Linked DNA regions of Canis lupus familiaris. The protein of the gene in region 2 interacts with the protein of the main gene of each other region in a biochemical or structural test. Links are inferred from orthologs where the notes say so. Each region holds a gene or a part of one and is shown on either strand. Other genes may lie near its edges.

Region 1 (15,739 bases), on a different chromosome or scaffold from region 2:
TTGCATACACCCCCTGAGCCTGTGCTTTCCTTTCCTTCTCACCAGGTGAACTGTCTCGAGCCCCACCCTCACCTGCCAGTGCTGGCAACCAGTGGCCTTGACCATGACGTCAAGATCTGGGCGCCCACAGCTGAAACTTCCACTGAACTGACAGGGCTGAAGGACGTGAGTAGCTGACTGCCCATGTCCACGTTACATTTTGAGTCTTCGTTGTCATGGGAAGGAATAACTGCTGCTCAGTTCTTTAAAGGCACTGATTGCCCCTTGGGGAGTGGTCCCAGCGCGGGGGCTCGGCGGGGGCTGCGGGGTGCCTCTAGTAAACGGTGGAGCGGTTGGGGTGTCTTTAGAAGAACCATTCTGGTTTAGAGCTTCCCAGTCTTCTCTGTGGATAAACGTGGTGCATCCTTCCCTGATCTCATTCAGCACCTCAGCTTAACGGATCCTAAAGGAAGTTTTCAGTGGGATAGAATGCCAGTCTTTTCTGGTCAGGTCCAGGGTTCTTACTCCTTGCTCATGCCCACTCCCACCACCCATTTTTGTTCCAGGTGATTAAGAAGAACAAGCGGGAGCGGGATGAAGATAGCTTGCACCACACCGACCTGTTTGATAGCCACATGCTCTGGTTCCTCATGCATCACCTGAGACAGAGACGCCACCACCGGGTAAGCGGGTGGGGGAGGTGAGCTCCCAGGGCGGTGACGCTCTGGAGGGGAGAGTGTTCCAGTGCCCACTTCCTCACCACCTTAAAAGGGATCCGGTGGCTTGGGTTGGGTGTCCTCTGCATGGTCCCCCATCCCCGTCAGAGCCCTGGTGTGGCAGAATGGGTGGTGTCTGCTTTCCGTTCCCCGTCGCCGTGCATGAGAGTGCTGTCTCCGTGCATGAGAGTGCTGTCTCCACGGGGACGGAGGTGTGAGGGTGGGGAAAGAGTTGAGGAGGAATGTGGGGGAAGGGGTGGCCGCCTTTTTTCCCTTAGGGGGGAAGAAGAGGTTTAGGACAGGGGTTGGCGAACTCTGGCAACTTTTGTAAATAAAGTTTTATTAGACACAATCCTACCCATTCGTTTACATTGTCAGTGGCTGCTTTCATGCTGCAAGAGCAGAGCTGAGTAGTTGCAGCAGAGCAGCGGCCCAGGACTCTGAACGACTCCTCATCTGGCCCCTTCAGAAGCATTCTGCTGACCCCTGGCCTAGAGCATCCGAATTAGAGTTAAGACCTAACAGGCTTGTCCTGGTTCAGGGAAATTACTAACAAGCCTTTCCCATTCTACAGCGCTGGCGAGAACCTGGGGTTGGGGCCACAGATGCGGACTCCGACGAGTCTCCCAGCTCCTCCGACACCTCGGACGAGGAGGAGGGCCCCGACCGGGTGCAGTGCATGCCGTCCTGAGGCCTCGTACCCAGGAAGGGCGGGCTGGGGCTGCCAACCCGATCCTGCCTGGGCAGCCCTTTCCTGTCCCAGGCCCTTACATTCAGCAGACACGCACTTTGGACTTTTTGCTTTAGATGAAAAAGACAGACATCCCAGGAGAAAGACCAGAGGGGGAGTGAACCTGCGGAGTAGCTCGGAGTGGGAGCAGGCCCCGGGGTGGGCTGCATGGAGAGGCACAGAGAGCTCAGCAGAAATGGCCTCTCCCCAAAGCCTTGTTTTTTGGGAGGGGGGAGCCTATTTTGTTAACTGGTTTGGGGTAGGGAATGGGGTTTCCTTTTCTTTAATCTCCCTGTTTCTCGGGTGGGGGGTGGGGGTGACTGGCTGTTCAGGACCCATGGGCCACAGTGGGGGCGGTACAAGTGCCACTCTCTCTTTGGTTTAGGTTTTTGGCCTTTTTCTTCTTTATTTTTTAAAAGTCTGTGACAGTTGCATTGTTTTTTTCCCCCCTGAACAACCCCAACCCTGGATCCTGTTTTTTCCGGGAGGTCCTTAGAGCCCCTAACCATCCCACACTCTTCACTTTCCTTTCCACCCGCTCGTCCTCTGTACTTCCCACAGTGTTTCACATTTGATGAGGTGTCCTTCCCGCTCTTCTCTCCGTCGTCCCGTCACCCCAACTAGGCCTGGTGAGGGAGGCTGGGGGAGAGGGGAAGGGGGGCAGAGGCGGAGGAGGAATCCGAAGGACGTGTTACCTCTTCTGTTAATGTTAAGAAAAAGTTGTTTGGTGGCAGCGATCTCCTTGCCCTGTCACTGTTAGAGGCCTAATTTTATATCTATAAATATATTAAAAAGCAAGTCAAACTTGGATGTATCACGTTAAAATTATTGTCCGTTTAAATACCTATATATCCTCTATGACTGCAATAAAGGGATGAGAGCGGATCGTGAGTTCACGGTCACACCGGGGTCAGCCCGCCCTCTGTACGCGGCCCTTGGAGGTCGGGGCAAGCCCCTTGGGCTTTCGGAGGCTCTAGAATGGAAGGGTCCTCAGCTCTGCCCTGCCCTGCTTCCTGCCACAGCTTCGGGGCTGGGAAAACCGGAAACTCCTTTCAGTCCTTTGCCTCGGGTCTCCCACCTCTCCTCCCGGTGGTGTTCCGGGGCGGTCTCAGGGCCTCTGGTCCGCAGAGGCCGGCGTCTCTCGCGCCTGACTGAACTGACTGCAGGCGGTCTCTCCCGCTGTGTGCGGCGGGGACACGGGGACACACGCCCTCGGCGGCAGCTGCTTGATTCTTGAAGCCCCCACCTCACCGCAGCAGCTCCTCTCCTGGTGGAAGAGCGAAGTAGAGAAGGCCCTCCTGGGTCGGCCGCTGGAGCTTGTCCGCCTCTGACATCTTGCGATTGAGGGACACGTCGTTGGAGGATGAAGATGGCTGGGGCTTGGACGCCCGTCCCGTCACCGGTCACGGATACGGAAGTCCTAGTTGAATTCTTGCCCTATTGCTTGTGCTGCTATTTCTTTGCCCCCCCACCAGAAACTCTGCACCCTGGGGCAGCCCGATTCTACTAGAATAAGCCAGGGAGGAAGGGAACAGTGAAAGGATGGAATTCCAGACACTCCTTCCTTCTGCCCCTTTCTTAGCCACGGTCAGACCAGCTGTGAGCTGCTGCACTTGCCCCGAGGTAGGGGCTGTGTGGTGACTGAGTGGTCTGTGTTCCTGTTGCTGGGGGGGCGACGGAGTGGCCTGAAAACCACGCATTCTGGACTTTGTTGTGTATTTTCTCTCAGTAAAGCTTTTTTTTTCTTCTTCTTTCTGACTGCTGTTGTGTGTGTGATGTGTGGCCCTCTCACCCAAGATGGGCTGGTGTGGTTCCTGCCGGCCTCGGTGCCTGGCCCTGGCCTTCCTAGGGCCTGAGGTGTGGTGTGCGGGGCCGTGTCTCCAGGCTCGGGGCTGCGGGGGGCTACGTAGGGGCCGGGGGAGGGGAAGGACACCACGAGGGGGGGTTTTCCTGGCCTCTGTTCCAGGCTAGTGAGGGAGCGGAATTAAGTATCACCCCCCCCCCCCCCCCCAGTCATCCAGAGGCTCCAAAAACCTTCACAGAAATTCTAGAAGCAGTCAGGTACAGTACAGTCAATCACCTTTATTCCAGGGTTAGAACAAGGCCGTGCACACTGCAGACAGGAGCACAGGATGGGGACAATCTCACAGCCGTACAGGGTGGGAGGGCAGGTTAGTCTTTTTAGGTTATTTTTGCCTTACAGAGAGATTTCTAGACTCTGCTGGAAATGACCCTGTCTCCCTTCTCCCATCTCCCCCCTCCTCTCCTCAGAGAAGGCTCCTATTCCTTCCTCCTCTTCCCCCTCTCGCTCTCGCTCGCTCTCACGCACATTCTCACATCACGTAATCCTGACCGGAAGGACAGTCGTGCTCAGCTCCCCCCTCCCAATTCTACAAGTGCCTCTCGGTCCTGGAGGGAGAAGCAGACAGGGCTGGGGCATCTCGGGGAGGTCCTTTAAGGCAAAACTGTGGAGTACTCCAGGTGTCCGTGTTAAGGCAGGTGTCCGCAGCAGTGGCCAGAGGGGACGGCTGGGCTGGGCTGGGCTGGGCTGGGCGTGCAGGCTGCTCCGCGGCCCGTCGGCTTCCTCCCTCCCCGGCAGCCGGTCCTCCCCCCGCTTGGGCCTGCTCCCTCAGCTGAAAAGCTCGGAACTGCGCTCGCTCCAGCCTGTGGAGGTGGCACGTGGACGCGGTCTCCCGTGTGGACTCCGCAGCGACTCGCCGGCAGTCCTCTGGCTGTGGCCTCCCCCCAGCCCCGCCCGGGCCTAGACAAGAAGGTATGCTCGACACCACGAGAGGGCAGGCATGGCAGTGCGGGTTTAATATACATATATGTCGGTATATATGTACACACAGTTAGCACGGTCAGGGCGGGGGGGCGTCGGCACAGGACGAGGCCGGGGTCCGGGGACTGGCTGGGTGGCATTCACGAGCCCGACGCGCCAGGGGGTTGAGGGAGACGGGCCAGCAGGTCCCCTCCTGGACTGAACTGGGGGTCAGTGCGGAGGAAGAGGCCCTAATTAGCTTCTTCCTGTCTTTCCAGCTGGGGGTGCTGTAGACCCCAGAGAGGGCAGGTGGCCTGTAGTCCCCACGCTGGGACCCTGTGGCTGGGGCAGGGGTGGAGTGAAGACCTCAGGGGCTCACTGCTCAGCCTCCCTAGGTCTGGAGTCCGTGTGTGCAACAGTCTGAGTAGGAATAAAGGGGTGGCAAGGAGGACCCTCTCTGCCCGCGCCCCCGAGTCGGGGTCGGTGGGGCTGCTCCCAGCATGGGCCCTTGGGGGGGTAGCGTCTACCGCTCGGTGCTCCGCAAAGTTGGTACTGAGGGGCCAGGAAAGGATCCCGTGGTGCTCTCATTAGATCCCTGGCTTGTACCCATCCTAGGCCCGCGGGACGGGAGCAAAAAGGGACCTGCTGGGGCCCAGGCCCTCCGGCCTGAAGACCGTCTAGAAAAGCTCCCTCAGCCGATCCAGCACGGGGTACAGGCGCAAACTCGGCTTTCCTTTCCCACTTCCGGGGAGGGGGGAGGTTGGGTGACCACCTTCCCTCCCGCTGCTTTTCATTAAATGCACCCACCTCGCCCGTGCTTTACCCGCAGGCTCGGCTCCTCAGTAGGAAAATACAGGTTCTTTCTGCTCCCACACTTTAGCCGTGGAAGGAAAGGGCAGTAGGAGGAATGTACCCATTTCTATTTGCATAGAAATAGCCCCCACCTCCCCCTAAAGTGGGGAAACGAAGCCCCCCCCAGCCCGACCCCCATCCCCTCACAAGGAGGAGGAACTAGATGAGCTAGACATAGAGACAGACAGCCAGAGCGTGCGCACACGCACACACACGCGCACAATAAGGGGGTTAGGACCGGGTTAGTAAGTGGGTAGACTGGGGGGGTTGCCCGTGCCCCTCCCCTGGAGGCTGGGGGAAGGGAGTGGTCCAGTGAAGGTCCAACCTTCCTCCTCTCCTCCCCCTCGCTCAGGCTTTCTTCGGTGGTGGAGCCAATTTGATGATCTCCTCCTCAGAGGGCTGCCGGATAATGTCTGGGGGCAGAAAGGCACGTGTGTGGGACGGAAGGCGACAGCAGGCAGGCCCACCCGTCCGCTTGTGTTGGCCCCAAATCCGCAAGCTCCAGGGATCGCCGTGGGGGTGGGGGGCAGGGGTGCGTGTGACGGGCACGGGCTCCTACCTTTGTACTTCTTGGCACTGGGGATCCGGGTGAGCTTGGTGTCCAGCTCATCCTCCTCCGAGATCTTCAGGACGCGGGTTCTGTAGTCCACCACCATGGTGAGGAGGTCGGGGCGGCGGGAGATCTCAAAGATGTGCTCGATGTACGAGAGGTTATCTGGGGGGGGGCGGGGGACAGGGTCAGCCGCGTGGGGCCCGCGGGGCCGGGAGGCCAGGCCCGCAGCGGCTCGGACGAGGGCTGCAGGCTGAGCAGCAGGGACCACAGGGAGCTGGCCTCGCCGTGGCCGTGGCCCTGCCCGCCTTGACCCAGCCAGGGCCCCACTCTGGCCTCCACGGCGCCCCCGTCCCCTGCCCCCGAGCCCTCGCGGCTCACCCCGCTCCGTAGGCCCCCCAGAGCCCCTCGGCCGCAGCACGGCCCACCCTACCCTAGCCGCTCCCAGGTCGCCTGGGCCCCGGGCGAACAAAGCAGGCGGCCTCATCCTCCAGACACCCCAACGCTCCCGCCTCTGGAGCACCCCCGGGGTCCACTGGCCTTTCGGGGCCTCCTCACCCGCAGCTCCCTCGCCCCCGCCCTCCCCGGAGCCCGGCTCTGAAAGTGCCAGAGCGGTTCTACTTCTGACACTTGTGGCTTGGCTCGGGCGCTCGCTCCGGCTCTGCCCTCCCTGCGCCCGCGACAGGGGCAGCAGGTGCATGGGGGCGGGGGGGGGGGGGGGGGTCGTGGGCCCCGTGGCTCGGCCCCCGCCCACCTTTGTCCAGCTTGTTGTGGCTCTCCAGGAAGCTGAACCAGGCGCTGCCGGTCGTGATCTCCTCGCTCTTCTCGCTGGGGATGTCCTCCTTGCAGGCCGACTTGAGCTGCTCCAGGTCCTCCAGGGTGATGTTGTTGGTCAGGTCCTGCAGGAGGGTCCCGTACTCGGCCATGACTGGTCGGAGGAACAAAGGGAGGCGCTGAGCTCGAGGTGCCCGGCGGCGGACTCGCTGGCACCTCCCACCAGCACCTCCACTCTGCGAGGGGGGGGGGGGGGGGGGGAGGGCCCAGGCCGTTGGGAGAAGCCAGGGAGAAGCAGGGGGCCGGGCTGCGGCCTCGAGGGACCAGTCACACCTCCTTACCCCCATCTTTTTTCCTCATTCCCCCCAAGAGTAACCCTGGCAACAGCTCCCCTGACTGAGGAGGCGGTTACCATAGCAACCTGCTCCAGACTTTCTCACCCGCAGCCTCCGAGCCCCCCCATCGCCCCACCCACCCGCAACCCCTCCCCCTGTCAAAAAAAAGGAAAGAAAAAAATACTCCAAAACAACCGCGAGGGAGAGGCTGGCCGGGCTGGGGCCCCTTACGGGGCAGGGGGCTGGGGCGCTGGGGGCGCCTGTGTTCCAGCCTCCACGTTTCCCCAGCAGCGAGGGGGACCCTCACTTCACCTCCCCACCACCCCATGGTGACTCACTTTGGACGGATGCCCGGGGGCTTGGTCTAACGGTCCTCCCGGGATTCAGTGCTGGGGCCAGGGGTGGGCGGGGAGGGGGTGGCGGGGGCCACCCCAGCCTTGAGGAGCCCGTGCCTCCCGTGCCGGCCGCCGGGCCTCCGCGCCGCCCCCTCCGCCAGCCTTTGTGCTGTGCCCGCAGCCCCCGCGCCCAGGAATACCAAGCGGCCGCCTCTGGCCCCCTGCCCGGTTCCCAGGCCGGCTGGGTGGCAGGGGAAGGGGTTCCGACGCGGCTGTGCCCCACGACGGCCTCCGCGGGGGGCTGGGCGGGCCTTCCTCCAGGCCTTCCCCCTTGCCTCGTCCAAGGCCTTCAGTTGGAAAGGGAGGGAACGTTCGAGGCCCTCCCTGCCCTGGCCAGGCACAAAGTGTGACTGAGACAGGAAGAAGGAGGGTCGGACCTTTGCAGGTGCTCCCCGGGTGGGATAAGACGTGAAGCCCCTCGTGGGAAGTTTAAAGGGGCTTTGATCCCCCCACAATGAGGATGTATTTCTTTTATAATCAGAAAAATAAAGCGTTTTAAAAAGTAAATTACATCACAGCTCTGGCGTGACGGAGGGCCAGGGCAAGGAGCGGGAGGACCGCATCCTTGGACTGCCCCAGTCACCCCGGCAAGGGGATGGGAATGCAGCACATAGCAGGCGGCGTGTGGCGTAGACGCAGAGAAACTGAGGCAGAGAGGCGGCGGCCCAGGGGTGCCCATTCCCAGCCCCCTCGGTGGGCCAGAACGAACCAGCCTCTCTGGGTGGCAGGCACCGCGACGCAGACACACGATGAGCCGGGCGGCAGGACCCCCACGAGAAACAGGCGCTCACAGGTGCAAGGGGACAGAAGGGCCCAGCGGTGGCCCTGCCAGGCGGGGCCGGGAACAATGCTCGCCGACTGTCAGCACCAGGAACCGTCTCGCCTTGAAATCTAGGTCACAGCGGCAGCTCTGGAGCCCAGCCCCCACCCACTGATAATCCCGGGACAGGAAGGGGGTGATCGGGAGGGGTCCAGACGCGCGGAGTCAGCGGGGGTGGGGCCCCCCAAAGGAAGGGGTGGCTCGGGAGGCGGCAGCGTGCCCCCCACAGGGAGACCCTGGGACCAAGCCCTCAGGGGAAAGCAGGACAGCGCTGAGGAGCATCCTGTCCCGTTTTCTCGTGGAAGAAGAGGCTGTAACTAGATCCCGCGGAAGGAAAGTGTGTGCGAATCTCTGGAAAGAGTTAAGGCTCCGGGCTCCGATCCTACAGCACAGACTTCCAGGGGAGGTGGGCGGGCCGGGCTCAGGGTGGTGAGCAAGCCACCCACGGCACCCATGGCCGGGGGCGCGGGCAGCAGCGGACTCCAGGAGGCCCCAGGAGCGGGGTGGGGGGGGCGCACGGGGGTGGGACCCTGCAGTGGATGTGGGGCCCGGCGGGGGGGGGGGCACAGGTGCGGGGGAGGGGTGCATGGTCAGGGCACGGATGTGCACGTGTCAGCCCCGGGCGTGCGTGTGTGTGAAGAGCGTGAGGAAGGTCTGCAGGCACAGGCCCACGTCCAGAGGGGAGGGGACGGCGGAGGAGACCCTGCGGAATGGAGGCAGGCCTGGGAACGGCCAGGAGGCGGCAAAGGACAGACCCTGGGGGGCGGCCCGGGACTCAGCGGCTGCCATGGCAACCTCGGTTCTGGGTGCCCCCCAGCGCTCAGGACAATGACACCACTGGACGGGAGGGGGCGGGGAGTGGTGAGTGAGGAGGGCCGGCCGTGGGGAGGGGGCGGGGAGGCGGCTGGCGGCCGCAGGGCCACTGCCGGTCCCCTGGGGAATCCTGGGGTGCAGGGAGGTGCACCTCCTCACGCGGCCCTCAGGTCGCACTGCCCAGCGCTCGTCCCGGCTGGTGCGACCGCGGCGGGCTGCGCCCGGGCCGGTCACCGTCACCTTCCTCCCGGCGAGTCCCCTCCCCTCCCGGGATCACCCGGCAGCCTGGGCGGAGGCCCTTCTTGGGACAGGATACCGGGCAGGAACCGGCCCGGCCGCTGCCAGGAAGTCCGTCCCCTTCCCTCCCGATCATTCTGCGCTCTGCTCCCTGCTTCCTCGCACCTACCTTCCTTCCTTCCTTCCTTCCGCCGCCCCCCAGCTGCCCAGGTGGAGCCCCACGGACGTGGGACCCGCTGGGGACGCAGGGGAGGAGGGGCAGGGATCTGCTTGCTGGTCCTCGGGCGGGAGCCAGAGCGGGCCGGCTGGGGCTCGGGGAGCGCTGGGGGCGGCGGGCCAAGGGGACACCACCGCGGGGGGCGCAGCACCCCGAGAAGGCCGGGCGTCCCGACAGCACTTCTGGATCATCCCTAGCGGTGCCTTCCAAACCCCCAGTCGACTTGGGAAGAAAGCCCGAGGCTCAGGAGCCACTGCCCCCCTGCTGGCTACCTGTGGCCTGCGGGCGGGGGCGGGTGGACCAGGTGGCCTGGGTGGCGGGTGGGGGTGTGTCCCAGGAGCCGGGAGGGAGGCCCCAGCCTGGGGGAGGGGCGGCAGGCAAGGAGGGGGGCCCATGGGGCCCACTTCAGTTTCCACCTGGGCCCCTCGTTCGCCCCTCATTATCCTGAGTGTCACACGTCGTGGACCTCTGCCCGTAGCTTCCGTTCAGCCTCACCCTGTGACAAAAGCGGGGGGCTCTAAGACTCAGCCGCCAGAGGGGAGATGGGTCCTGGGGCCTCGAACGGTTCAGCGTGGCCTGAGAGCAAGAGGCTTAGCCCTGGGCACGGACACTGGGCCGAGCCTGTGGGACTTGACCCAGGTGGGGGCATGGAGTGTGCGATGGGGGGGGGCTGCCTCCTGGTGTGGGGGGGACGGGGGAGGGGGGAGGGGAGGGCCTCGCCTGCTGCTGTGTCTCCTCCCTGTCTCTCCCCTGCATCCAGCTCCTCCCCCCCTCCTCTCCCTCCGGTGGGCTTCCATCCCATGTCACGTGGTGCTGGCCCTGAATACTGAGGACTTGGGGGGGGGGGCCTGTGCCCCAGTGTCCGTGTCTGAACACTCGGGGCCCCTACCCCAACACCCATCAGGAAGGAGTGAGATTCCCAGCTGTACAGGGATCATCACTGTGGTGGGGAGGAGCCTGAGCGGGTTGGCTGTGCCCAGGTGGTGCTGAGGGTCTGCCTAGGAGGCATGGCCTCGGCCTTCCCCAAGGGTGCTGGGGTGGGCACCCAGGGAGGGCACCCAGGGCAGGGCACCCAGGGCAGTGCGGCCGAGCAAGCAGGCCGCGGGGGCTCTGGCGGCCTCGGGGGCTCTGGCACCGTCCCCGACGCGGCGCTTGGCCACAAAGGGAAGAGCAGCTACAGCTAATCGCTCTGACGGCCCGGGGGCCACTCACCCAGACACAAAACCCACAGATTCAGCCGTTTCCCAGCGCGAGCTCCGGGGCGCGCCCTCCCCCCGCCGCCCGCCGCCGGCCGCGTCCCCGTCCCTCGCGCACATTCCCCTCGTTCTCTCCCCCCGACTCGGGCTCCATCCTCGGCTGACTCATGCTCCTTCTCTCTCTCCCGCCCCCTCCTCCGGCCTTCCGCCGCCCCGGGGCGCAGACAGCGGCCGCTCCGGGGCCCCGGGCGCCCGGCGGGCCCAGCACAGCGCCCTGCGCGGCCCCGGGCCCCGGACCGCAGCCCCGGATCCCGGATCCCGCCCCGGATCGCAGCCCCGGATCCCGCCCGGGGGCACCGCAGGACCCGCCCCCCGCCCGTCCCGCAGCGGGTCGCCCGGGGCCGGGCACATGGAGGCCGTGGGGGAGGGGGTGCGTAGCGCGGGGACCGCTGTGATTTGCTGCGTGCGAAGCGGTGTGTGCACGAGTCACATGGGCGTGTGTCGGCGCGTGCCGCGGGCTCCCGTAGGTGTGTGTCCGGTCGGCTCCCGCCCCGCCCGCGCCCCGGGCCCGATGCCCCGACCCCGGCCCCGACCCCCGCTCCCCGGCCCCCGCCCCCGCCCCCCGCCCCCCGGCCCCCCGGCCCCCGCCCTCACCGCCTCGGGCTGAGCGCTCAGGGCGCGGTCTCCGGCGTCCCGGTCCTGGGCAGCGTCCGGAGCCTCCGCTCGGCTCCCGCCGCTCCTGCCGCCGCCGCCGCCGCTTCCGCCCGCCGAGCCCGAGCCCGAGCCCGAGCCCCAGCCCCGCGCGCGCCCCGCCCGGCCGGCCGCTGACGTCACCGGGGCGGGGCCTGCGGGGGGCGGGGCCTGCGCGGCGGGGCGGGGCCTGCGGGGGCGGGGCCTGCGGGGGCGGGGGGGAGCGGACCCCGCTGCGGGCCTCGTCCTCTCCGTCCTCGCGCGCGGGCACCGGGGGAGGCGACGGCGGAGGCCGAGGCCCCGGATCCCCCGAGCGGCCGCGGCAGCGCGGCGGCGGCCCCCTCCCCTCCACCTGGGCCCTCCCCCGGGGTGATGCCCGCGTGTCCCTCTCACCTTCCCCAGATGTCCCGCCCGCCGGCCTCCCCCCACCATGATGTAATTTGATTTTCTGGGAGGAAAAGAGCAGCAGTGAGCTCAGCGTGCAAATATAGACGCCGCCGTGCAAAGCCACGCTCAGCTCGGCCTCCCCTCTGCCGGCCGGCCGCGCTCTCACTTCCTCTCCGCCTCGGGGACTTTCCTCCCAGTCTCGGCCACACTGAAACAGGGAAGGAACACGGGGGGCGGGGGGCAGCAGTCTGCGCCCCACCTGCAGCCGGAGGGCTGTTGCCTCAACTCCGGCCGTGCGGCCCTGGGAAGAGGCCTGTGCCACCTCCAGCTGGGGAGCCCCCCGTCCTGGTCTACAGGCCTCCTGCCTCCTCCCTGCCCCCCATCACCACCCTCTGCTAGCAGGGCGTCCTCGTGCCCTGGCTGTGTGTCTCCTGCGCTGTGTCCTGGGACCGCAAGCCATTTCTCTGAGCCATCGGTGAGACCCAGAGACCCAAAGTGACGCCTGTACAGGGGCTGGGGCTTTGCACTGGCTCTGCCCCTCCCGGGGGGCAGGGTATGCCCCCAACGCCCAGCGCCCTCGCCAGGAGGGTGCACATGCTGCTGCCCCCCCCCCCCCCCATGCAGGGCTCTCCCCAGACGCAGAAATCCTGAGTGTCAGGAGTGGCGCAGATGGGTGCTCGGGACCCAGCCGCAGATGGGCAGGGGCCCTGCCCTGAGCTGTGGGGGCTGCCGGCTGCCTATGGTTGGCCCAGGGCCCACTCGGCGTATTAGACGCAGGACTGAATGGTGGCAGGAGCCCTCCGCCCCCTCCAGGGGCGCTTCCTGGGTTTGTCCAGGACAGTGACGTGGCTCCTGAACTTAGCCGTCCTGTAGTCTCAGCGGCACCTCTGTACCTGGCCCGTAACTGTCACGTCTGTGAATTCTGGGCAATCAGTGCCTTGGTCCCCCCCCACCCCCCCACCCCCCGACGGCATCCCACTCCCTTACCCGGACGCCAGCCTGGGCTGTGCTGGGGGCCGTAGGGAGCCTTCCTGCCCAGAACCTCAGCCGCCCAGGCCCGGGGGCAGGGTGGGGGGCCGCATGGACAGAACTCTGTGCCTCCTCTGCAGGGCGGGCCCTACTGGTGGCCTCTGGCCGTGAGGGCCAGGGGCCCCCTTCCCTCCCTCTGCCCACCTGCCCATCAGTGCCCTTCCTCCTGGCTCCCAGGACGAGACCCAAGCTCCACACACCCCGTGACACCCGCCCATCCTCGTGGGGCCCACTTGCGGGTCTCCTCTTGTCCTGCTCATCTCTTCTGCGCCCCCAGTATGACACCCACATCCTGCAGGTGCTTCTGATGCTCTCCACTGACGGGCAGGCCCCTTCCCTGCCTCCTCTGCCCCGTCAGCCCCCACTCTTCACGGAGGGAGGGCCTAGCAAGGGCTCACTCCTTGGAGCCTTCGGAGCCCGCTGCGTGGTGGCCGCTCCCTCCTGAGCCCTTCTGTTCACTGGCGCCTTCTGCTAGCAGACGCGGTGGGGGCCGCCCTTGGTGGGCGCAGAGGAGAAGCCTGGGCTCCTGCCTTCAAGGGGCCCACGGTCCAGTGCGGGGGGACAGACACGTAGCCACAGATGGAGGGGGTCGCCAAGGGGGGGACCCCAGATGAGGGGGCTGCAGCGGGCGCCGCCTCTGGGAAGCCCTCACCAAGGAAGTGTCACTGGGGCTGAGTCTTGACGTTCAGAGAAGAGCTGCAGGGAGGGTGCGATCCAGCAGCGCAGGATCAGTCTGTGGTGGGCTTCCATGTGCTCCGGCCTGTCCTCACTTCCAGCCCGGCATTCCCAGAGCCTCCCGGGGTGCCGCACAAACATCTTGTGTTGGGGGGGGTGGGGAAGCTTGGTGCCTGGCCGGAGATAAGTCATCCACTCTCCTCTGGGGACGATGGTCTGGAGGGAGGCACCCATCCTGCTCGGATTGCAGCGCCCGCCCCCCCCCGCCCCCCTCCCCTGTCCTCATCCTCCGGCTGCCCCCCTCCTGCCGCGGGGTGACACCTCTCAGCAGACACCTGCTCATGCTGCCCCAGATCCTTTATTGAGGCCTCTCAATATCTGACCCAAATACATTAACAAGAGATTGCCGCGAGGTGGCCCGGGACGCGGGGCCCGCCCTCCCTCCTGGCCGGAAGGACGGAGGATTTGGGGGTGTGGGGAAGAGTGTGTGCAGGTGGGGGGAACGGAGGAGAGGAGGGTCACGAGGGAGAGCACACGGACCGGTGGGGGAATCCGTCGTGGGATGGGGCCACCGAGGGACAGGGGACAGTCAGTGAGGCGGCTGGGCGGGCGTGTGGGGGGACAGGGGGTCCTGTCCCTGTCAGGTGACAGTCGGGGTCAGGTCAGCGGGCCCGATGCAGATGGAGGGTGACCCAGGGTCCCTGGAGGAGCCCAGGGAGGGGCAGGGAAGGGGGAGCACAGGAGAGCAGCGGGCGGGCGGGCAGAGAGAGGGCGGCCACAGCCGCTAGTCATCATCATCGTCGTCGTCCTCCTCCTCGTCGTCGTCCTCCGTGTTGATCTCGCCCGCCAGCACGTCCTCCAGCCAGTCCTCCAGCTCCTCGGCGGAAGGCAGGTCCTCCTCGTCGTCCATCTCCATCCACACACTGTCGGCCTGGGGCGGGGCGCACGCAGGGGACCGGGTGAGCCCGACCCAGGTCCTAGGAGCCCGGTCCCCCGGCTCACGGGGCCCCCGCCGTCCTTCCCCTCTTGCGCGGCACCGGCCAGGTTGACAGGGCGGCCTCCGTCCTCGGCCTCCCTAACAGGCCTCCGGCATGGGCCGGCGGGGGGCCCTCGGCGGGGAGAGTGAGGCCTGGCGCCCGTCAGCGCTTCATCACCTGCTGTTCCAGCACCTTCTACAGAACCCTCGAGCCTCGCAGGCCGTAAACACGACTTGCCTTTTCCAGAACTTCACAGTCCTTCTCCTACTTGTGACCTTACTTAGCTCTACCTCTTGCGTCGGTTTGGAAAGGCCTTGCGTGTGCACGTGGCGTGCCCCGCAGGCTGTGCAGGTCGCCACACCAAATGACCCCCCCCAAGCCTCTCTCCAGCAGAAGTGGCTTTGATTTCTGTGGCCTCCTAGCACTTTATTGGTCTCCTCGTGGTCGTGTCTATAAGAGCTGGCCGTGTCGTCAACACAGCACCTGCCTCCCCGGTCACACCGGGAGCTGGGGGGACGCAAAGACCGTACACAGCCCGTTCGTTTTGTCGCCACAAAACCACAGCTGAACACCTGCCACGTGTGGGTGAGAGTTCTGCCCTCCAAAAGCTCAACGTCCGCTGGAGAGGCAGACGCGCCCCATATGTAGACCCGAGATGAGCTACATGGCAGTCACGTCCTCGATGCCCAGGGGGCTCTGCGAGTGCCGGGGGGGCGGGGGTGGTGACTCCAGGTGGGGAGTCTGGGGACCGGCCCTGCAGGACGGGGCGCATGTTCAGAGCCTGAGTGCGTCCGTCCAGCCCTGAGACGGCGTGTCTGACTCCTGGGGGGTCCACAGAGCAGGGAAGCAGGGGTGGAGGCCAGCGGGGCGGGAAGGGGACTCACGTCCGTGACGTTGACCACTCCTATTTGTGGGGCCGACAGGTCGATGTCGAACGTCTTCTCCCAGTATGGCACCAGCTGGGGAGAGACCACAGGGCGCTGTGAGGGGGTGCAGGGGGAGCGGGTGCGGGCGGCTGGCACAGGGGCGTCCCCGAGAGCCCTGGGCCGATAGGGTGCAGGTCCAGCTGTAGGGCCTGCAGGGAAGGGCGAGAGGCCAGCAGCGCCAGGGCAGTGCAGACGCTGGCCCCTCCCCTGAGGAAGGCTGGGCCGGAGCCCGTGTTCTGGGCCTGGTCCCGCCGCGGCGCCACCAGGTCACCTCGGGGCCGCTCAGCCGGGCGCCCCTGAACTGAGGCCTCTGTGCGCGGCGATCAGGGCCACTCGGGCAGCAGATCACTCGCTCCTGCTGCGTGTGTGCTGGGGGTCGGGCTCCGGCGGGGACCGAGCTGTCCCCTGGGACTCGGCGCTCCGCGCGTGCACCCACCTGCAGGGCCCGCCCGTCTGGTCTGCCCCCCGCAGCGCTGCCGGTTGGGGCTGGGGGGAGCGCCTGCCGGGCCTCCGCTCTGGGCGTCGTGTGTTAGGCTCCCTGCGGTTGACCTGCCGTCCTGTCTCCCCACCTCGGGCTGCCTTTCGCGCCCTCAGTGCCCCTGAGGACCCGCCGTGACCTCCCGCGCCCCCGGGCCGGGGTCGGGACAGGAAGACGCCCGCTCAGGGCCCCGTTCGGGCCT
Region 2 (16,631 bases):
TAGTCAAGGAAAATTTTACTGATCACAGTCAATAGAAGGCATAAAATTCATAAACAATTATGTAAATACAAGAATATTAAAATAGGAATTGATTAGATTGAATGTCAGAAAAATAAACTGTAATTTCCTTCTGTGAAACGTAAGTCATGGCAATCAAAGTAACTATGGGCAGTGTATATGAAGAAGCACTGAACTTTTGCTCTCAGGGTTTGTTTCTCTTGATCTTTCTATCTACTGATGACAGCAGAGACTAGAATAAAGACACACGCCTGTATTTTCCTGGAACTTCTACAATTGCAGAACTTTTGTATTTACATACACAGTACAATGAATTATTCTGGTTTTGATTATACTCAAAGACAAGTTGTGGCAAGAATTAAGTAGGAAGATTAAGCAGTGAAAAGAAATTCCACCTAACTCCACAGAAGTATACCAGTTTACTCCTAACGTAGAAATAAAAAGCTCATTTTAATTTCGGAATTGTACTCCAGGCAATCCCAAACTGAAATAACCCCTTTATTAAACTTCAGTTCCTTTTATTCTCCCTCACCACAGGGTTACTGAACACTTTTATTTAGCTCCATAAGAGGTACCATGTACTGGGGCCCCTAAAATGGAGAAAACAAGATACCCATCCTCAATGTTTTATTCTAGTAGAAACAGACATAGAAACAAGAGTTTAAAAAAATGTTGGAGATGCTGTAATAAAAGTAGGGAGAATTTTAGAGACTTTAAAATTTGAAATGAAGGAAGGAGGAAAGATGTAAAAACAGTGACAGCTTACGGAATTTCTAAGGCAAGGATGAGAGAAAGTATTTTCTACACCTCCTTTTTGATTTACTTAGTTGGATTCTTGGAGGTTATATCAAAGAGTCACTTAAGTTACACAGCTTCACATTTAATGGAACCAAGCTAACATTCTCCTAACAATGCAGTGATAAATTAATCTGAGGAAACTGGGAGTTTGGGTTAGTAAGAAGGGAGATTAACCTTTGGAATTCACAAAATCTCAGAGGTGAAAGGCAAAGTATCTTAGAAGTCCTCTGGCTTAGTTGGCCACATGACATATCAGGTCTACAACTCTGATACAGCCTTTGAGCCTATGTGAGCACCATCAGCAAGAGAAGATTTAATACTGTCTGGGGAGTTCATACCCTTTGCCAACAGCTCTGTTATGATAAAAACCACAGGTAGCAAGGAAAAGATACCTCACTTGTCTGGGGTGTGGTGATGGGCAGGACAGGCTTCCTGGAGCGAGTAATGTTTTAGCAAAGTTCTAGATGTACGGTAGTTGGCCAGGCAAAGAAGGGAAGTGGTATTGTTGATTGAGGAAACCATAAATTCAAAGAGCAGCATGAGAAAAGGAGGAAAGTTTAAAGATGTGTATGTACATGGTTGCATGTACATGCAGCATGGTTCGAGCATGGGGTATGAGAGGAAGTGTGAAAACCACTGCAGACAGAGGAAGGCAGACTGGAGGTGAAGCAGGGTATGAACTGTAGGCAGGGGAGTAACGTGGTTATATCCAAGTGTTTGCTCTCTCTGGCAGTACTATGGAAGACAGTCTGGGGAGAACATGGAGCATGAGACTAGTCAATTCCTAATACTAATCACTACCCAAATGTTCCAATAAATATAGATATTAAAAGCAATAATGTCAGCAATGCTTTTCTTCTTAAAGCAAAGTACAAAAATTAAACATGTTTTTCTTTAGAACTTAAATTATGCTATACATGTTGTCCTTAGTCAATTTTTTTAAAACTTAGTATTATCAAGTTCTTGGTCTATCACATGATATTTGAAAACATTCCAAATGTGAGCTGGACAAGTGACTCAAATTACTGGAGTTCAAGAATCTACTACTTACATCCTTTAGAGTAATGATGTTTGGATGCTGTCCATAACGAAGAAGAATTTCAATTTCTTCTGTTGGATCTCTTTTGCTTTTATCAATAATCTAAAAGGCAAATATTTATCATAAAATCTCATGAACTATTAAGGTCACGAACCTTAAGTATGCACAGCTACAGACCTTAGGTATTATCTTACATAAATACTGGACATATGAGCCATTTACCAACCAGTTTTATTCTAGTACCTGGCCAGACTGTTTAATCAAAATTTGAAAGCCAGTCTAAGTTTAGGACTTACTAAACACTCAAAAGCCCCAAGAAAAGGTATTTTTCTTCCATCCCCGAATGTCTTAAAACCTTGGAAGCTCAGTCAACTTTTAACCCTTATCAATACATATAATTAAGAACAAGATGTATCTATAATACTGCCACTAGCATCTGTTTATTGAATTAACTTTATTTCCTTTAATAAAATGCTTCAATGGAATAACCCATTAGTTGTAAGCTACTTATAAAAAATTAATTAACAGTTAAGTAGAACAAGCTTATTTTTGAAGCTAGGCAGAAAGCTAAGCAGAGAAACCACACCAAGAGTTTTACTTGGCTAGAGTTAAGTTTAATTATTATGATAAAGCCCTTTAAAATTCTAATGTAGGGGATCCCTGGGTGGCTCAGCGGTTTGGGGACTGCCTTTGGCCCAGGGCGTGATCCTGGAGTTCCAGGATCGAGTCCCGCGTCGGGCTCCCGGCATGGAGCCTGCTTCTCCCTCTGCCTGTGTCTCTGCCTCTCTCTCTCTCTCACTCTCTCTCTCATAAATAAATAAATAAATCTTTAAAAATAAAATAAAATAAAATAAAATACTAATGTAGCTTTTCAACCCTTTTAGGTCAGCTGCTTCTTAAAAATACATCTCTTAATGTTTTAATCTGTTAAAGTGATATTATATTTTTAAAAGGACAAGTTCAGCTTTCTTTTGTCCAGAGGGTAGTCTCAAACAAATTTTGTGACCTTTATATTTTCAATTTTAAAAGAGCTTAGTAATTAATGTACACAACAAATACTCAAATGCTCCAGCAATCTAGGAAAAAGCTTGCAACTCAAAGTATGAATCAAATCTGTTATCTGAAATGGATTTAGTTGTAAAACAGTTCTGTATGTGGAGAACAGGGAATACAAACATAGGTGTACACTGTAATCAAATGCAAATGACAGTGTGGAATTAGGCAAATAGATGATTAAGAGGAAAGGTATATGGAATAGACATCCTAATTCAAGGGAGATGATCTGGGACTAGTCTTTTGAAAACCAGAACACACTGGGAGGTGTTATTCCTAGCAACATTTTCTTTGATCTGCTAATCTGAGCAGAGCTTATATCACATACTTGTGTTTGTAGATCTTAGATTTGTGGTAATTTCAGCAGAATGAAGCTGTGTTAGGATTGATTTTATGAATCTAATTTAAGTCACAAGAATCCACAAATAGCTTGAAGATATTCTTGAGGTTTTGGTATACTGTTCCTGGTTTCTGTAATTCAAAGGGGACCTCAGGGTATTTCTGCTCTTTTTCTGATGTGTTTATGGAGGCAAGACACATCCTTAAACTGCCCATCATGTGCATTACTCACCTTCTCTCCTTTCTCGTAAGCAATCTGAAAATTCCTATGTACCCCAGATTTCACTAAGAGCAATGAGTAGGAGAAGAGCAAATTAACATGCATTTCTATGGTTTATCCTTATATCTGACAGAAAGCTGGACACTGACGATTTTTAAAGCAATTACATCCAAGTTTAGAATAGTAATAACAATTTTTTTGTGTATGTGTGTGTCTTTCATAGATATTTGCTATGCATATATAAAACACATTTATTTTTATTTTTGCACAGTGAAATCATATTAGATCTAGAAAGACAGATGGATATACAGAAGTAAAAACAATTAATGCTTCTCTTCATGTAAGTAAACATGAGCTACCCACACTTACAGACCAGTTCTAAGGTCCAAAATAAATTAAGAGCCTTAGACATTACTTAAATTGCTTGTATTGGGAGAGCAGTGACTACCATCCCAAGAAGTGAAAAGGCAGAGACTTGAATGTAGTATTTTTTCACTTATAGCTACAGGTCTGTAATTCAAACTTTATCATAGAGCCATATGATTTGGCTTCAAAAATTCTTATTGTCTTGAATGAAATTAAAACAATGAATGAAACAATGAAATTAAAACAGCTAATGATAATAAATTTTGTAACAGTGGTCTTTTCCTTTTATCAGTTCACAGATCCTTTTATATGTGAAGGACAATATGAACATTTTTTTTTTGGTAATATGAACATTTTTGCCAGAAAAATGTAAACACATAAAATTTGGCATACAATCTTGAGGAAGTCCCTGACACTCAAGACCACAAAATGCCCCCATATTACTTTTTAGAGTAAGAAGATGCTATTAAAAATCAAGTCAGATGTACTACTGCCTTGAGCAAACCAAAGGTACGCTACCTGCCTTTAGTTTACAGGTGAATCCATGGTTCCAAATTGAGATTCCTGAAGGTTGCTATAGGCAGATATTTAAATTTACCTTTTTAAAAAAATGAAAGGCACATTTGCCAAAGAAAAATTTAATTTTAACTTGTACTGACATGTGTGAATAACAACTGGTAGAGCTGTATTTTATTTTTTAATTTATTCTTAATTTTTAAAACGTAGGTTCCATGCTGGGCATAGAGGACCTTAGGTACTATAGAGCCCAGCATGGGGCTTGAACTCATGACCCTGAGTTCAAGACCTGAGCTAAGAGTCAGATGCTCAACCAACAGAGCCACCCAGGCACCCCAGAGTTGAATTTTAAATCTAAAAATATTTACCTTCACTGCAAACTCCATGTTTGTAGCTTTATGTATGCATCTCTTGCAAACAGAGTAGGAGCCAACTCCAATATCTTCTTTTACTTCATATCCATCAGTAAACTGAATGCTGTTTCTGTGCAACTGCTACAAACACAATTATAAATTGACAAAGAGTTTTGTAATGACAATGGTATAATTCATAATAGAGGAATATGTTACTCATTATGCATTGCTGATATTAACAATATAAAGGAATATAAGCAAAAATTAAAAATGAATCTTTACAGCATTTATTTTTCCACAACTGTGTATTTTATTTATTTTAAATAGTTTATATTTATTCAAGGGAGACACAGAAAGAGAGAGAGAAAGAAAGAAAGGCAGAGGGAAAAGCAGGCTCCCTGCTCCCTGATCGACGTATGGCTCGATCCCAGGACTCCAGGGTCATGCCTTGAGCCAAAGGTAGATGCTCAACCGACTGAGCCACCCATGCATCCCCACAACTGTGTATTTTAGAATGTTTGCCATAAAATGTACAGCAAGAAATAGGCTTTTAAGAAAAAGCTTATGCTAAAAAATTTGAATATGTAAAACCGAAAATGCAGAGTTACTTGGTAAGGGGTTGCCTGTGACTGAGCCCTATTGCACTCCCCAACTGATGCTAGGTCTTTTAAAGTACTTTTGCAAATAGGGAGAAGTTTAAAGTCTCTGGTATAGAAGAAAATATTTAGGAGGATTCAGAATTAGAACATTGGGATTCTTGTCTCAGATGCTCCTCTTGCAGACTGCGCAACCCTAAACTATGTTTTCTTAGAGGGTAATGGTGAGGATTAAATAAAAATAACATATTTGAAGGTGACACCTATTATCGTCATTGTGGATTATCAGTAGCCATGCCCTCCATTTTCCACTCTCAAGTCAAAGCTTCAATACATTTCTGCTAGAGAAGCTATTAATAGGTTAAGGACTGATAACATATGGTAGGACGATGCCTAGTAAATTAGTAGTTTCATAAGCAGGCTGAGGGAAGTTGTGCTGTCCTTGGCGATACTGAAAGGAGACCCGCCTCCTGCCTACCAATGTCTACAAACTGTGTATCGGTTAGAATTTGAATTCTGTAGAATATATGTTTGTGATTTCTATGTTAGGTACAGAAGTTATAACTTAAAAACCTGCCATACATCACATGCTTGCTATAGTAAAAGGAACAAACTACTTTAACCATGAAATTTATTTAAAAACTAGTGTTTAAATTGGTTTTCTAGAAAGTGGAAAGCAAGATGACTAACTTGCGAAGAAAACTTGAGAGCAAAAGCAACTTCATCTTCAAGCAAATTCATCATTAAGCAAATCCAAGCACTAATTAGTGCCCTAAAAACAATCAGTGCTTCAAAAGATATATCTAGTTCCTTCTATAATTCAGAAGATGAATTAAATTTATCTTTCCATGATACTAGGATGGGAAGAAATACATCTAATGGTTTGTACTACTTGTGTTCCTCTAATAACATTTACTAGTTCAGTCTCGTGTTACAGGCATACAGACATCTGGAAACCTGCTTCTGCGGCTTTTACCTCATTCTCCAACTCTGATACACAGATGGGATAATGGGGTGGGGGACATCCTAAGGTAGTATCTATAACCATTTCTATTAAATAGCAACGGGGACTCCAAAAGAACAAGGACACAAAACTTGGAAAATATAAGGCTGAAGTTCACTTTTATTTCTTATGTATTTCTATAGCAGAAATTGGCGAACTGTATAGCCTATGGACCAAATTTGTTTTAATACTAGTTTTTATAAATAAAGTTTTATTGGCACACTGCCACACTCATTCATTTAGCTACAGTCCATGGCTGCTTTTATGCTACACTGTCAGAGTTGAGTAGTTGTAACAGAGATCATATAGCCTACAAAGCCTCAAATATTTATTAACCGGCCCTTACAGAACAAATCTGCTGAGCCCTGTTCCAAGCCATCAGGGAACCAGGAGATCTTAGTTCATCAAGGCTGACCTGACAGAGGCAGAAGATGAAACAAATTAGGCCTGATAAACATTTTGAGGCATAGGAGAGTGTAGAGACAAGATGGTGATATGCATCTCAACTCTCTTAGAATTCCCCTTTCAAGTTAGATCAGTATCCAGGACTCTGGTGCATGCAATCTTTTTTCCCTTAAGATAGATAGATAGGGGGATCCCTGGGTAGCTCAGCAGTTTAGTGCCTGCCTTTGGCCCAGGGCGCGATCCTGGAGTCCTGGGATCGAGTCCCGCGTCGAGTTCCCTGCGTGGAGCCTGCTTCTCCCTCTGCCTGTGTCTCTGCCTCTCTCTCTCTCTCTCTATCATGAATAAATAAATAAAATCTTTAAAAAAAAGATAGATACATAGATGGATTGATTGATTTATGAGAGAGAGAAAGAGGGAGAGAGAGAGAGAGAGGTATTGAGCATGAGCACGTGCACACACTGGGGCAGAGGGAGAATGTTAAGCTGACTTCCCACCAAGTAGTGGGGCTGGCCTTGGGCCTGATCTCATGACACTGAGATCATGACTTGAGCAGAAATCAAGAGTTGGCCACTTAACCAACTGAGCCACTTAGGTACCCTATCTTTTTAAAGGCATATGAAAGGAATTTCTAAGAGTAAGTCAATGATATAAAATGTATTTTAAGCTGCTCACTTAAAATCATCAGATCAAATCTAATCTAATTATTCACATAGTGAATCATATCTTACAACATTTCAAATTTTAAATTACTTAGACATTCACTCACCTGCACGATTGAATGCACACCAACTGTCTGCATAGCTTGGCTTTCATCATCTGAGGTGATAGCAACAAAACTAAACCCCCGAAAAAGCTGATGTGCATTAGCACTAGGTGGAATGCCAGGTGAATCTGAAAAGAATAATACATTACTAAGAAGGTTATACTCTGAATGGTAAGTTAAGGGAAGAAGAACTGTTGACAGTATGACCTTTCTCTTATTCTGGAATTCCACTTTTTAGGCATTCAGGGCTTCCAGGATAACTCAGTAACACTCAATCAGCTCTGTCCTGATGGCTTATTGGCATCACAACTCTAACATCCAAGTTCCTCTGAGCCCAGAAAATAGCTAATTCATTGAAGAATATAATAAATCGATGAAAATTACTAGGCTAATGTTATTCTAAATTAGCATGGTCTCATGGAATTTCCTGTAGTGATAGAAATTTTCTTTATCGTGTTGTTCAATATGGTAGCCAGTAGCCATATGCAGTTCCTAACCTTTTGAAATGTGGTTAGTGTGACTGAGAAACAAAATTTTAAATTTTAATTAATTTAAATTGAAATAACCCCATGTGACTATTGGCTACCATATTAGATGGTGCAACCTTAAATGATAACCTAAAAATGCTATGGATCCTGGTGAGAGGGAGATACAGGGTTCATCCACAGATAATTTAGGAGAAAGGAATTTAGTCTGATGGCCTCAATATACAATATCAGAATCTGGAAATCTAAACTACATGTTAAAATTTACTATATTTATATATATATAAGGAACGAAAATAATTTCTAAGACAATCATGGTATGCAGTCCTTAAAATATGTTTTATGACATGACATATATTGTTACTCAAATTGTTTATGTGGAATCTACTAGCAGTAACAAAAACAGAAAAATGCTTTTAAAATATAATATTCACTATAAAAACAATAAAAGCATGCATAACAAATGTATAATTCATAAATATAAACACACAATTAAGCATACTAATATTTATAATCATGCTATAAAGGCTAAGGGAAAGCAAAAACCAAACAGGCAAATATATTTAAATATCAACTCCATACAAAGTTCTTTTTTAACATCAGCTTGATATTCTCAGCAATAAATACTGTTTAGTGCATTTTAATTCAATGTAACAGTATTATACTGAAGACCACTGTTAAGAGAACCAATCTGGGAAGAATACAATATAGAACTGCTCTTTTCTGAAATTTTTCCTCTATCAGGCCAAATTGTAATGAGAAAGTAAAGTAAAACATTACCATATATCACCAATTCTATGCATATCACTATTCATATATTTGATGAAATTTTGTTCATGTATTAATCCTAATTTCTAAGACTGTCTAATAAAAATAAACATCCATCAATGCTTATTAACACAAATTATGAGGATATTGTCTCGAAAGCTTTACAATGAGGTTTAAGTGATGTACTGTATAGAAAATATATACAAATATACTTTTTATTTATTTGTTTGTCAGTGATAAACCTGGGGTCTAGTACACTTAAACAACAGGGTATTAGAGTGCAGAGCACACCATTACATGCATGCATACACTAATTTAATGAAATACAGATTACCATTTCAAAGATAATTTCTCTATAACAGTCAATGTTTATGTAATTTTAGAATAAAGCATGACACAGGATATAAATCATTTTGAGATGGTCACACCTCATATAAAGTTTAAGTTATGTTTTGGAATTGAACTAAAAAAGTACTTCCAAAATACTAACTAATATTAGAGTTTTAAAGAGTACTATCTATACTAAAAGATTATTTCATGTAAAAATAGCTACAGGTAAATAAACACACAACCAAAGATTTTTTTTTCACATAAATAGTATCAAAGTTTAAGGCATAACCTAATTTGCTAAAAGATTTAACAAGGAACTTGACTGCTATAAAATGCTGTAAAGGATTTACTAATTATCTAGTTACTGCAGGAAGGATATGGTATGAAGGGGAGACATGAGTATTATACACACACATACACACGCACACACACTGTTATATTTAGGTTTTCACATTTTCTCCTTACCTTTGGGAGTTTTTGCAGTAAACTCAGGATCAAAATAGAACGTATCTTCAGGCCTGCCAGTTGCAGGTTTAAAAGGTGGATGAATTTCTCTTCTGTACAGTTTCTGGAGGAAAAAAAAAGAGACTTAGACATGTATTAATTATAAAAAAAATTCAAGCAAATCTTCATGTATACTCACATTCCAGTCTATTGTTGAGAAAAATGAATGTCTTTTAATTTCCTCAACTCCATCTGGTCCTGCACCTATCAAAAAATGGTTTAAATTTTTTGATTAAATGGTAATTTTACTTCAGGGACGAATATATACTTTATTTAGCCTTCGCTTTTTTGAAAGATTTTATTTATTTATTCATGAGAGAGAGAGAGAGAGAGAGAGGCAGAGACAGAGGCAGAGACAGAGACAGAGGCAGAGGCAGAGGGAGAAGCAGGCTCCCTGTGAGGAGACTGATTTGGGACTTGATCCTGGGACCCCAGGATCACACCCTGGGCCAAAGGCAGGTGCTCAACCGCTGAGCCACCCAGGCGTCAAGCCTTTTTTTTTTTTTTTTTAATTTTGTTTTCTTTTTTAAAAAATTTTTTATTTATTTATGATAGTCACACAGAGAGAGAGAGAGGCAGAGACACAGGCAGAGGGAGAAGCAGGCTCCATGCACCGGGAGCCTGACGTGGGATTCGATCCCGGGTCTCCAGGATCGCGCCCTGGGCCAAAGGCAGGCGCCAAACCGCTGCGCCACCCAGGGATCCCCAAGCCTTTGCTTTTAACATTTGTCCTAATATATCATAATTCCACAACAAAACAAATATCCACCCCCCACCCCAAAACCCCAAAGACCAATAAACCAAAAAAAAAAAAAACAAAAAAAATTAATTACAAATTTTACCTAATCTGTTTGCAGGATTTCGTTTGAAAAGCATTCGTAAGAGACTCTGGGCTTCAGGACTCAAAAACTGAGGCATCCCAAGTTTGGCTCTAAAGAATAAATCCACATAGTAACATTTTATTTTTTGGAGGTATTTGTATTTTATTTTTAATTTTTAAAATTAATCTTTTTTACTTTAAGATAATTGTGGATTTATACTAAGCGGTAAGAAATAATACAAATAGATCCTGTATACCTTTTACCCAGTTTTCCCCAAAGGTAACATTTTACCAAACTATAGTATACTATAACAACCAGAATACTGACATTGATACAATCCACTGATCTCACTCAGATGTCTCCAGTTTTAACTGCACCCATTGTGTAAGTTCACTCAATGTGTAAGTTCTATGCCATTTTACCTCATGTATAGGTTCCTGTATCCACCACCACAGTAAAGATACTCAATAGTTCATTACTACCAGCATATCTCATGTTGTCCCTTTATAACTACACCTGTCTCCTTCCCTCTCCAATTCTTAACCTCTGGCAATCACAAATCTATTCTACATTTCTACAATTTTGTCATTTTAAGAATGTTATGTAAATATAATTATAAAGTATGTAACCTTTTTTCACTCAGCATAAATTCCTTTGAGATTCATCCAAGTGGTTGCATGTATCAATAAATCATTCCTTTTAGTTGTTGAGTAGCATTCCATGGCATGGATGTATCACAGTTTATATATTTACCTATTAAAGGGCATCAGGATTGTGTCCAGTTTTGGATTCTACAAATAAAGATGCTCTGTACATTTGTATATAGGTTTTTGTGTGAACACTTAATAGAATTTCAGTCCATAATATTCTAACAAACTTTTCCATTTTTATAAATTTTGCAAAAAGCACTGCTGTGACAGTAAGATCATCTGAGTCTTAGTTCTGGCACTGTTACTAAGAACTTTGTGACCTTGGGAAAAGACAATTCTCTTGGGTCTGTTACCACTTCTTTATAAGCAAGGGGACTATTAGATCAATGGCTCCCAAAATGTAGCCTTGGAACCCTTTTTCAAAAGGAATTTAAGAAATCCACTATTTACAACTGCTAAAAGAACATGTGCATCATATGCCTATTTTTTCCTCCCATTCCCTTTAATAGCCCTACAGGGAAGAAGAGCTGGTGGGAAAGAGGTCTGTGGAACATCTAAGAGTCTAAGGTACAGTCTGAAACCCACCAGCTTGAATGAGCTTGAAGGTCAGTTTCAGCTCTAATATATAATTTTATTTTTTTTCTAATTTATAAATTAAGGAAACTAATGATCCTCTAAGTATGAAAATAATTAAAGAGCTGGGGAAATGGCTAGCAGAGAAAGGTCTATTTGAGAAATACATCCATTTATTATTCAGTGAGTTGTTACTGAGCTACTATGTGCCAGATATTCCTTAGTGTTGAGGATACAGATAAAGATAGCACCCCATCAAGTCAGTGGGGGAAGACGGAGATGGATAACCCAAGGATAAACCTAGTACGTGAAGAGGCATATTCAGAAGGACGTATGGAAAGACTGCTAAGGGAATATCAGGGGATATCTAATTTAACACGAGAGATTGTGAAAGGCCTTAAATGCAATTTATTTATTTATTTTTTAAAAGATTTTATTTATTTATGAGAGAGAGAGAGAAAGTGAGAGAGAGGGTGACACGCAGAGACACAGGCAGAGGGAGAAGCAGGCTCCACGCAGGGAACCCAAAGCGGTACTCGATCCCAGGCCTCCAGGACCATGCCCTGGGCCGAAGGCAGGTGCCAAACCACTGAGCCTTCCAGGGATCTCCTTAAATGCAATTTAAAGGTTGAGAATTTATTCACTTGGCCAGTGTTCCCCCAACATCTTACTAAATAACCTTGATTTCTCTAGATACTCAGCAGCAACAACAAAATACTTCATGATCCAATGAATTTGTGGAATGCTATCTATTATACCCCTTGTTGGAAACACAGAATAAAGTACATGCATATAAAAGGCTGAAAAATCTAAAGTAAAGAAATCAGTATTTTTCTAAACATTTGCTCCCAGTACCTCTTTTTCAGAGAAGACCTATTCACATCTTGTAGGGGGAGCATTCTGTTCAACAAATCTGGGAAAATACTGCCAAATTAGGTAATAAGGATATACCAGAGGTCTTTAAACAGTGGAATAACATGACCAAATTTATTTTCAACAAGGTAACTCCAAGGGCAGTATAGACTGATCTGGAGTGGGAAGTGGTGGTAGGTTGTAAGCATTCTACTTTGGAGCTTGACTCAATAGTGTAAGTAAGAGACCACCATGATCTGAGAACTGTAAGCAGTACAATGCAAAGAAACGCCTGGGACACTGAAATATTTCTGAAAGCAAATTTGACCAATACCTGCATGTGCAAGAGAAGGGAAGAAATCAAAAGTGATTTTCAGGTTTCTGGCTTGGGAAATGGGGTACTTAGAAATGAGGCTAATTGAAAGCACAAGAAGAAAAAAAGAACAGCAAACAGATAAATCTAGTTTAAAGATGTTAAGTCATACATATCATGTTTTTGGAGAGCCAAGCAAGTGAGTAAATGCGAATACAGGTCTGATGTCTGGTTAAGGTAAGAAAGAGTAATTTGAGAATAATTAAAATGCTGAGAGTAGTTATAGGGAAGATCGAAATGAGCACAGAAGAGAAGAAAAGCATATCAGAGATGAAACCCTGGGGAACAAGAACATTAAAACAGTGGTCAGAAAAAGAACAATTTGAGCATTAAAAATAATGAATGCAATTGTTTGTAAATGCTGAATCACACTGATTATCAAATCCCATGGGTTTGTTGTAGTCAAAACTAACATAAAAACCAACTCTTTCAACACCATCCCCACTGGAGGTAACCAGGGCTCTGGCAATTGGAAATAATTAAGGAAAGAATCAAACATTTATTCTGCTTTTCTTGTTTGAGCCTTATTTCAAGGTAACTAAAGAGCCCTCGTTGATGAGAGAAAGTTCATTGTTTTGGAAAATATCAGCTAATAAATGAAGAAGGAATAAAAGTAATAGAAAATCACTATTTTTGAATCCCTAATAAAATAATTGTTTCAATTAATGGTTACCAATGGTTGAAACCACTAGTTGAAAATCTGCCAAGGAACTTTGCAACAGAGGGATCAGATGTAACTATAGGAACTGGTCACTTAAAGTGGGGCAACCAGGTGTTCTAAGCCTTCTGATTTGATGCAATGGCTCATGTGTGCAGCATGAGCTATGAAATAATCTTGCCAAAAAATAACCAGAAATTCAACAAAGGAACAAGTTCAACAATATTATAAGGAGAATAAAACAATTTCAACACTCCTAGAAGGCTAATTGTTATGTCACCATGTTAACAAGAGAGCCACAAGAACTGGCTTTAAATTCATTCAATTGATCAAAAACAACTTGCCTAGGTGAACATAGTTTTTGTTTTTTCCAAACCAACCAATCAGTAACTGCTCTTCATCTGTGAAAATCAGCCAGACAAAAATGGGCTGACTCCAACAACCACACCTGAGTGCCAAGTGATCAACAACAGTCCCACCAAAGTAACCACTCTTAGAGATGATGTCAACCCACTTATGGCCCTGAAAATCTGCCAATTCTTGAACTCTACCCTTCGCCCAAAACCCTATGTAAGAACACTGGTCTGTGCTGCTTAGACACTATTAGATCAGGATCTCTCTTTCTTACTGTAGTAAGCGATAGGATTGGCTTTATGGTTTTTATTTCATATACCAAGAGGTCGTCTTTTGACAAGATATATTCTGAAAGTGGAATTCTATAAAACTGTCTTGGTTTCTTCTACAAGTAAATGGTAGGTAACACAGGGTAGAGTGTTCTGGAAGAACAGAAGCTTGAGAAATGAAATGTTCAGATGTGATTTGGGACTGTAAAGACACAGTTCCGGAGAGAATCTGAAAAATCTGGTCAAGAATTGGTATTAGTGGATACTTAGCAGTGTCTTGTTAGGTATGGTTATGTAAGAAAACATCCATACTTTACAGTGATGCAAACTGCAGTAGGTGAGAAATAGCATGTCTGGAATGTTTAAAATATTTCAATGAAGAAAGAGAAAGAAAAAAGAAACAGATGAAGCAAATGTGGCAAATCTTGGGGACTGTTGAATCTGCATGACAGATATATGTGTTCACTGTATTAATCCTATTTTTGTGAATTACATTAGAAAGTTTTCATAATTAAACAGAGAAAAGCAGGCAGAGACAGAGAAAAGCAGGCAGAGAAGGAATGGTCAAGCACGAGACCAAAAGAGAAACTGTTAGGGAGGGAGGAGAAGCAGATGTGAGGAGAAAGATCTAAATGGGGAGAAGGTGGCAATAGCATCAAATACTCCCAGAGACACTTTTCTTACCTGTCTCATCTAAATGGCTCCTGCTTCTGCCCTTTCCCTCACATTTCAAAAATAATCTGGTTTATTATGCCTATTGTTCCTATTACTATCCGGAATTATTATCTTCATGTGTTCAAATATTAATTTTTTGTCTCCTCTAATAGAATGCAAGCTCTGTGAGACCACAGAAGATCCTGTCAGTCTTGTTCACACTGCATCCTAAGTATATGTAGCAAGACCTCAACCTTCTGTGGAATGAATCGTGTCCACAAACGGTGCAGAGAGTCACCTAACAATCTGCCACTGGTTTAAGCAACCAGATCACTGGTGACCATAAGAAAAGGAGTTTCAGTTGAGTGGTGGTAATGAACAATCAACAGGTTGTGGAATAAAAGGAGCCAAGAAATGGTAACAGAAAGCACAGACTACTCCTTAAAGAGGCTTTGTGCTCAAAGGATGCAGGAAGATGGTACACAAACTTGAAAACAAGGCCAGGTCAAAGAAAGAGTTAGTCTGTTAACACTAGACTATGTTTATTCACTGAAAGGAAGGGGCCTGAATAGATGAAGTAAAGAAGGTTCAGGGAACATTCATTTATCGAGCAAATATTTTTTGCTGTTTTTATTGGGGAGAATAACATAAAGTGCAAACAAACTTGGCACAGCCCCAACACCAAAGTATACAGTTCACTGATTTACCACAAAGTGAACAGTCCTGTGGCCAAGAAATATAACATTGCCAGAACCCCTCATTCAATGTAACCACTTTTCTTACTTTGCCTTGGCTGCTGCCATTTAAATATGGACCTTAAAAATTATGTTTCAGTTTGTCTGCTTTAAAACTTTGTAAATAGAATCATATAGTTATTTATTCTTTTGTGTCTGAACTGTCTTTGCTCAACATTCTTAATGTGATTTACCCAAGTTGCTGCACATAACTGTGGTTTGTTCATTTTCTTTGCTGTATGGCACACTGTACCCCTGAACCAAAGGCCTCAGATGTTTTTGTATAGCTTGAGAGCTAAGAATGATTTTTCCATTTTTAAAAAAAAGATTTTGTTTATGTATTTAAGAGAGAGCAAGAGCACGAGTGGGGGACGGGGAGAGGGAGAAGCAGGTTACTGCTGAGCAGGGAGGCTGACATGGGGCTCGATCCTAGGACTCTGGGATCATGACCTGAGCCAAAAGCAGAGGCTTAACAGACTGAGCCACCCAGCTGTCTCAGTTATTACATTTTTTTAAAGGATTGTATTTATTTATTTGAGAGAGAGAGTATGTGTGAGTGGCAGGGAAGAATAAAGGGATTGGGACAAGGCGACTCTGCACTGAGGGCAGAGTGCAACAAGGGGCTCTGTCCTGTGACCCTGAGATCATGACCTGAGCTGAAATCAAGAGTCAGAGGTTTCACTGACTGAGCCACTGAAGCACCCAGGTTTTTACATTTTTAAAATGTTGGAAACAATAAACAATAAGAATACGTGACAGACACTGTATGTGGCTTGCAAAGCTTAAAGTATTTACATAGTATCTCTGCTGTATCTCATTCTATGACTAACTATAGCATAATTTATGAATCCACTCTACTGCCAGTGATCCATTTTCCACTTTCTGGTTATTACAAATAATGCTGCTATGAACATCTCTGTTCTAGTTTCTTAATGTGCAAGTAAATTGATCCATGTAAATTGAGTGCATGCCTAGGAATAGGATTATTGGATGAGGGTATATATATTATTTGGCTTTGGAACATGGTCAAAAAACTGCTTTCCAAAGTGGTTAAAAGTTGCTACTGCTCCACATCCTGTTAGCACTTTATATTGCCAGTTTTTTTACTGTTAGCTATTCTGGTGGGTATGCAGTTGT

The links.
Region 1: the proteins of RPS6KA3 (region 2) and PEA15 form a complex in vitro, tested with the Homo sapiens proteins (2 studies listed by BioGRID). The link is inferred for Canis lupus familiaris from reciprocal best matches to the Homo sapiens genes RPS6KA3 and PEA15.

What each region holds. Positions count from the first base shown.
Region 1 is NC_049259.1:22,825,457-22,841,195, forward strand, and holds PEA15 (astrocytic phosphoprotein PEA-15), read right to left. Parts: upstream 11,204-15,739; 5' UTR 11,030-11,203; intron 10,448-11,029; exon of another isoform or gene 10,392-10,447; intron 6,517-10,391; 5' UTR 6,515-6,516; coding exon 6,343-6,514; intron 5,754-6,342; coding exon 5,598-5,753; intron 5,452-5,597; coding exon 5,387-5,451; 3' UTR 3,488-5,386; downstream 1-3,487. Other genes in the region: DCAF8 (DDB1- and CUL4-associated factor 8), read left to right, coding at 46-165, 546-662, 1,270-1,386. UniProt on the Homo sapiens protein: Blocks Ras-mediated inhibition of integrin activation and modulates the ERK MAP kinase cascade. Inhibits RPS6KA3 activities by retaining it in the cytoplasm. Inhibits both TNFRSF6- and TNFRSF1A-mediated CASP8 activity and apoptosis.
Region 2 is NC_049260.1:16,152,813-16,169,443, forward strand, and holds part of RPS6KA3 (ribosomal protein S6 kinase alpha-3), read right to left. Parts: intron 10,488-16,631; coding exon 10,399-10,487; intron 9,761-10,398; coding exon 9,696-9,760; intron 9,621-9,695; coding exon 9,518-9,620; intron 7,598-9,517; coding exon 7,473-7,597; intron 4,844-7,472; coding exon 4,718-4,843; intron 1,958-4,717; coding exon 1,868-1,957; intron 1-1,867. UniProt on the Homo sapiens protein: Serine/threonine-protein kinase that acts downstream of ERK (MAPK1/ERK2 and MAPK3/ERK1) signaling and mediates mitogenic and stress-induced activation of the transcription factors CREB1, ETV1/ER81 and NR4A1/NUR77, regulates translation through RPS6 and EIF4B phosphorylation, and mediates cellular proliferation, survival, and differentiation by modulating mTOR signaling and repressing pro-apoptotic function of BAD and DAPK1.